Linked DNA regions of Xenopus tropicalis. The protein of the gene in region 2 purifies or fractionates together with the protein of the main gene of each other region. This does not show direct contact. Links are inferred from orthologs where the notes say so. Each region holds a gene or a part of one and is shown on either strand. Other genes may lie near its edges.

The links. The genes of interacting proteins can lie anywhere in the genome.
Region 1: the proteins of dhx38 (region 2) and ppp4r3a purify together in Homo sapiens (co-immunoprecipitation; 3 studies listed by BioGRID and IntAct, with this or other methods). This does not show direct contact. The link is inferred for Xenopus tropicalis from reciprocal best matches to the Homo sapiens genes DHX38 and PPP4R3A.

What each region holds. Positions count from the first base shown.
Region 1 is NC_030684.2:87,125,440-87,129,096, reverse strand, and holds part of ppp4r3a (serine/threonine-protein phosphatase 4 regulatory subunit 3A), read left to right. Parts: intron 1-2,813; coding exon 2,814-2,869; intron 2,870-3,160; coding exon 3,161-3,259; intron 3,260-3,657. UniProt on the Homo sapiens protein: Regulatory subunit of serine/threonine-protein phosphatase 4. May regulate the activity of PPP4C at centrosomal microtubule organizing centers.
Region 2 is NC_030680.2:60,112,547-60,116,303, forward strand, and holds part of dhx38 (pre-mRNA-splicing factor ATP-dependent RNA helicase PRP16), read left to right. Parts: intron 1-42; coding exon 43-168; intron 169-1,065; coding exon 1,066-1,161; intron 1,162-1,249; coding exon 1,250-1,371; intron 1,372-2,833; coding exon 2,834-2,918; 3' UTR 2,919-3,757. UniProt on the Homo sapiens protein: Probable ATP-binding RNA helicase. Involved in pre-mRNA splicing as component of the spliceosome.

The sequences.
Region 1 (3,657 bases), on a different chromosome or scaffold from region 2:
AGAATAAAAAAGGAATGTTAGCTAAAAAAAATCAGGGAAATGCATTAAATATAGATGGTGCCACAAAAATTCTGTAAAATTAGGGAAAACGTAAATCAGGGTATGTAAAATTGAGGTTTCGCTGTATGGCATGTTGTTTATTGTGTCTAAATACAAGAGGTTGTACATGCTTCTAATGTAGCCTTAAACATGTTTGTGTTTCTTCATACAGGTATGGGATAAAACCCTTTATCCATAAAGCTCCAAATTATGGAAAGGCAGAGACCCCATTTTAATCAAATTTTTAAAAATGATTTCCTTTTTCTCTGTAATATTTAAACAGTACCTTGTACTTGATGGCAGCTAAGATATAATGAATCCCTATTGGAGGCAAAACAATACTACTGGGTTTATTTAATGTTTAAATTATTTTTTTAATAGACTTAAGGTATTGAGATTCAAATTATGGAAAAAAAAACCCTTATCTGGGGAGCCCCAGGTCCCACGCATTCTGGATAATAGATCCCATACCTGTAATGGTATTTAACCTGTTCCATTTGTGTACCTGTTATTTAAAGGAGAAAGAAAAGCTAAGTCACTGGGGGGTGCCAGAATGTTCGGCATTCAAATTCTGAGAGTTGCAGAAGTTAATTTAAAAAAACAAAAAAGAAAAACTATTGGGAATTGTCTTAGAATGCAGATGTATACATAACACCAAGTAAATTGTTCTGTGAGCTACCCCTCAATCTGGCAATAGACTTTATACTGCCTTGTCTGTTACAAATTGCAGACATGTCTTACCCCATGACCTACAAATATCAGTAGCACTAACTGTTGGCTTTTGACAGAATATTGAGGGTTGTGTTTATACAATATATGTTGGGCACCCCCAATCAATCTGATTGTGGGGAAAATAGAGGGACATACTGTGCCACAGTTCTACTTTCCCAGGCTTTTCTAGCAAGGTCTTAAGCTGGCCATACACACACAAATATAGTTTTGTACAATTTTTAGACCATGTGTGGGCTCTGAATTATTGTCTTCATAATTTTAATACCATGGTGTTCGGTAGTTTTATCGATTGAACAGGTTAGAAAATTTTGGCAGGATAAAGATAAAATCTGTGCATGTATTGTGTATCTGATGATATCCTTGGGGAACCTAAAATGCATCAGATGATTGCTGTCTGCCTATTATTTTATGTTCAGAACATCCTCCGCTTTGTTATATTTAGATTGTTGCATTTTTACATATGATCGATATCCTGACGTTCATTAATGAAGACTAAAATCTGAGCATGTATGGGCAGCTTTAGACTCACAAATGCATTTTTGTTGTTTGTTTGTGCATATTTTTATTGTTGCTTATTAAGGCAAATATAGAATAAAGATTATGTCAATACAGGTATGGGATCCCTTATCTGGAAACCCATTATCCAGAAAGTTCCGAATTACAGAGAGGCCAACTCCCATAGACTCCATTATAAGCAAATAATTCACATTTTTGAAAATGATTTCTTTTTTCTCTGTAATAATAAAACAGTACCTTGTACTTGATCCCAACTAAGATGTAATAAATCTTTTTTGGGGGCAAAACAATCCTATTGGGTTTATTCTCTATTTAAATTATTTTTTAGTATTTTTTAGTAGACTTAAGGTATGGAGATCCAAATTACGGAAAGATCCCTTATCCAGAAAACCCCAGGTCCCAAGCATGGATAACAGGTGTCCCATACCTGTACTAAAAAGAGGATTGCAGCATTGGAAAAAATATTTTACATTTGTATATTTTGAGTTTTAACAATACAGAAAGATACAGAACTCAGAAACCGTGTGATATTAGCATATATAATAAATTGGCTTAGTTACAGCAACCAGAATATTATTTATTTTCTGGGTGCTTCTTTAATAAGAAAGGAAGGTAAGGCAAGAACAAATGCATTTTTATTAATAGGAGCACCAGCCTGGGGAAACAAAATTTAGTCTGACATTTTTGCACCCCCAGTAAATCAGGGCTTCATTGGCCTTAAAGGAACAGTAACACCAAAAAATGAAAGTGTATAAAAGTAACTAAAATATAATGTGCTGCTGCCCTGCACTGGTAAAAGTTGTGTGTTTACTTCAGAAAGTCTACTATAATTTATATAAATAAGCTGCTATGTAGCCATGGGGGCAGCCATTCAAAGGAGAAAAGGCACAGGCACATTGCAGATAACAGATAAAACACTATTGTATTCTACAGAACTTATCTGTTATCTGCTATGTAACTTGTGCCTTTTCTCCTTTTTTCCAGCTTGAATGGCTGCCCCCATGGCTACACAGCAGCTTATTATATAAATTATAGTAGTGTTACTGTAGCAAACACACCAGTTTTACCAGTGCAGGGCAACAGTGCATTATATTTTTATTACTTTAAAGCTCTTTAATTTTTTGGTGTTACTGTTCCTTTAAACAAATCTGCTATTTTTATTTTTGCTGAATTGTCTGTTTGAAAAGTCAGTAATTGCACTGCATTTGATGCAGACTATTATCTACTAAAAACTTTAAGCCCTCATTTTGAGGTGATAATTGCATTATTGGGATCAACTGATAATTGAATTATTTGCTTAGGAGTCTATGGGAGATGGTCTTCCCGTAATTTGGAACTATCTGGAAAACAGGTTTCCGGACAATGGATCCCATACCTGTACTACAGTATATGTTTAAGCTGTGTACTGTAAGATTTAGTATTTATCATGCATAAAACAAATTATAATTAAAAGCTCATTCTGAATTCTGAGAATACCAGTTATATTAGTCGGTCTAGTATAACTCATGTCTTTCTTTTTTTACCAGGCTCACTTCTTTTGGAATCAAAAATTAATACTAACACAGCTTACCAGAAACAGCAGGTAAGTCTTTCTGTAACAAAGTATTTCCTAAGAAGTTATGTAATGTATAGGTCTCTGTTTAATACCTGTGCTATACTTTTTTGAAATAATTAATAAAAATTGTAGTGTTCTAACATTTATTTGAAATGAGCAATATAGAATATTGTCCATAAATATTAAGTTTTCTTTTTTTTTTTATATATTTATTACTCTTGACTTTTTCTGTAATTTGGTAAATACCCCTTAAAAATGATAAAATCCTACGAGTGCTGTTATTTTCCACGTTAACTAGAATTATCTGTTTACTTTCAGGACACTTTAATAGTATGGTCAGAAGCAGAAAATTATGACCTGGCTCTTAGTTTTCAGGAAAAGGCTGGGTGTGATGAAATTTGGGAGAAAATATGCCAGGTGAGTTTTCTTTTTGTTATACCTCTGTATAAAATATTTGCCGTGCCTGGTAAGGGTTCATTTATTGCCTTCATGTCAGACCATGCCTTGTTCTTGACTGAACCGGTGACAGACTGTCTCAAGCTAACAATATTTACAGCATAATAAATCTTAATTTTAAGGTCAACATTAAGCTGAATATACCTTGTACACAGTTCTGTGTGCCTGTAAACTCTGAACTGTGAGTGCGACATTTTCAAAGGAGAACCATGTACACAACATATTTAGCTCTTTGATCTATAGATCAGTAAGATGCCATTTATGTTTAATATAAAACATAACAGCATAATATATGGTAATTTGGGACTCAAATACATTTTTGTGCAGATATGCCAGTATTGGTTAAGCAAATTGTGTAT
Region 2 (3,757 bases):
TCACTGTAAAAAAAAAATCCTCTTATCTTAACTTATTTGCAGGGGATTGGAGAGTACGTGAATGTACGAACTGGGATGCCATGCCATCTGCACCCAACTAGCTCACTGTTTGGGATGGGATATACCCCAGATTACATTGTTTACCACGAGCTGGTGATGACCACTAAGGTAAGAAATGGCGAGAAATACATTTTGCTATTGTTTCAGAAGAATATGTGTTCTTCTCTTTACTAGCCACTAGAGAGCAGCATCCAGAATCAAAGGGCAATATGGCTGCTCAGGAATTCAATTCAAAAGAAATGCAGCAAACATAAAGGATTTGCTAACAGACTTATAAGTGATAATGTTTCTGTAAAAGACCTTTTAGACTAAAGGGCTCATAAAGATTACTATGTGTTGTCATTATCAAGCTGGCCATTTAAATAATGTAATGTTGGACACTTTCTCATGCAATCCATGTCCAAGGTTATATAGATAACCCTACATTTTTTCATTATTCTTTTACGCCTGAGTTTTTTGAGTGTTTGGTGTATATGCAAGACACAGTCCACTGTGCTACTTTAGGCTAATGCCACATGGGACTGATTCTCGGTTCAGCCCCTTACACTGGCATTGGTCTTCTTCCTTGCCTGCACCCAGGTGCCGGCACACCCTGCACATTTCAGCAGAGAAATACAATGAAAATCTTCATAGACAATACATAATAACGTTTTTCTGCGGTGAAATCTGGTGTGTTTGCCAGCAACTGGCCTGACAGGCTGAACATAGACCTAGAATCAGCTGGGCGGGGTGGCGGGGTTTGGTTGTGCAATTAATGCGATCTTCAAAAACCGTATATACACGAGTATAAGCCGAGGGCAACTTTTTCAGCACATTTTTGGTGCTGAAAAACTCTGCTTATACTCGAGTATATACGGTATGTATTAATATGCTTATTAGTAATACTCCAACTAACATTAGTATTTTATAGCAAATCACATTCTTCCAGCAGACATTGCTTTCAAGCACCAAAAAACTGACCATGCAGAAATGTCCTAATATTTTCTTTCCTGGTGACCCTTCTAGGAATACATGCAATGTGTCACAGCTGTGGATGGGGAATGGCTGGCAGAGCTGGGTCCAATGTTTTATAGTATTAAGCATGCAGGGAAAACAAGACAGGTAAGTGTTACTGTGATTTTAGATTTGTTTTTTTTAATATATATATAAACTGAAGTTTGATTCACAATTTATAAAAAAAAACTTTTAGGAAAACAGGCGCCGTGCAAAGGAGGAAGTATCTGCCATGGAGGAAGAAATGATGTTGGCAGAGGAGCAGCTTCGTGCCAGGAGAGAGGAGCAGGAGAAAAAGAACATTCTTAGCAGTGCAAGGTGAGCTGTGAGGGAGGATTTCCACTCCTACTTTCCGCATGACCAATACGTGATGGATAGTAAATTTTATGCATTGGGCCCCCAAATTGGTACTTCATTGGGTCAAACCCTGGTATGAGAATGATACAATTTATAGGTCAACACAGAATTCTTGCCCTTGTGCATGATAATCTAATTTAAAAAGGCTGTTCACCTTCAATGTTCAAATCTTATTAAATCACCAACAATGCCCTCAAAGTGTCAGAAAATCAATTTTCCATAAAAAAAATCAAAAGGACACTGTAAAAGCTATTTTTTCTACCAGTTAAATCAGTCCTTCTGTCTCTCTGATCAGTTTTCTGAAGGGATGGGAGTGGCCAATTTTGAACCTGACACACTGAGAACTTCCTATATGCTTACATCATCACATCCAGGTTTTCCTATTGGACCATTTATTTGGTGGCTTGTGCACTCCTAACCAGTTGGTTAATTTCTCCCTTGCAGTGGCATAGGCAAATAGACTCAGCACAGTTCTGTTAGATTTGCAGCACTCTGTCACAAGCACAGGAAGCAGTGTCAGATTGACAGGAGACACAGCCAATAGGAGTTAAGTCTGCTGCCAGTATCGTGTGACATCATATAAGGAAGTAAAAAAAAGCAACTGTAGTGTTTATGGGAGTCACTGCCCCCACCCAGCGGAGGGATGATTCTGAGGTGAATAGCTCTTCAGCTGCACATTTTTGTTAACTATGGATAGGGCATAGATTGTTCTATTAATGTGAACTGTTAGATTTGTGAGTGTTGTACAAAGGTGAGTCATTTATATGAGGATAAAATACCGTGTTTTCCCGAAAATAAGACACTGTCTTATATTTTTTTAAGCTCCAAAATATGCACTAGGTCTTATTTTCAGGGGATGTCTTATTTTTTGATCCTCATGTGCCTTTTTTTTTATTGCCCCCTTTGATCCTCATGTGCCTTTTTTTTATTGCCCCCTCTGTTATTTCTGTGTCCTCTGATCCTCCTGTGTAACATTCTCGTTCTTACCGGTACCTTGGTCTCTCTCGCGCCGTCACCATGGAAGCCGTCTAAGCGATGCGACTTCCTGTTTCCCCTGTGCGCTGCCTGCGTGGTCTCTCTCGCGCCGTCACCACTCAATGTGTTATAACGGCGCCAGAGAGACCACGCAGGCAGCGCACAGGGGAAACAGGAAGTCGCATCGCTAGACGGCTTCCAGGTGGGTGTCTTATTTTCGGGGGGTGACTTACTTTCCGGGGGGGGATGAAAAGGGGGGGGGGGGTGCCTTACTTTTGGAGGATGCCTTATTTTCGGGAAAACACGGTAGCTCTATATCTGAGTAAGTGGGCCATGAGCTGATTGCACAGATACTACGATGAAAAGTATCCAGTGTAGGCAGCTTAACTGGTTCCATGGTTAGGCAGCAGCGACTACTTATTGATTTTTTAATGCTATGTTTCACCAGGTCTTTGAAAATTTACACGCCAGGAAGGAAAGATCAAGTAGAACCTGGGACACCCCGCCGCACACCTGCACGGTTTGGCCTTTGAAACCTCATGTCATTTTTCCTCCTGGCATGGATATGATAAATCTGCATGGGACGAGATGTCATTTGTTCTTCGAGTGTAATGGACAATGCGGGTGGGAGAGGGGTTTAAGTATTTTCCTTATTGTAAAGTGGAACAATGTTATTTTTTAACAATAATGTCTTGAATTTTTGGCTCTGCGTGCTTTCCTTTTAAAATTCTACAAATACACAGGCTCAATGAACGTATGGAAGGTGGAATTAGCCAACTGTGCTCCTCTGCCCTCCTTTTTGCCCATAATATTTAGTGCAAACCTTGATCTTATAGACAGTTTGATAAGTACAGACTAGTGTTAACATGATAATTAACTCCTAACGAGTGTCGTAATGTCAGAGGCAGTCCCACAACAAGTGGATCAGTTGGCTTATCGGCAGCTCCCTCTGCTTGAAGCCAATTTAAGTGCTGTATATTGACTAAAACGCAACTGTTAAATGCTGATTATTGATTTTCCTACAATGCTGACGGGATGAAGTGCAGCTCGGGGATTCTGGCTCAGGCTTGGCTGCTTGCAGAGGGGAGTTTTGTCATCTCTTGCTATACAGTCCGACAGCTTGGTGATGGTTTGCTCTGGCTTGGCTATTCCAGCCCCTGTGCACTGCATTTCTCATACAGGCCTTCCCTAACATGCAGAGTCCCATTCATCTGATGTCTCCATTACATAAAGAATGAGAGAAACGATCAGTCTGATTAATTTATTATAAAATTATAAATATTTAAAAAAAAACAATTTAATGTTGATGCAGCAAGCAGAAATCTGGGACATATTAAAATGTGCAAACCTCCTGTATTGCTTCTCCAAAAGA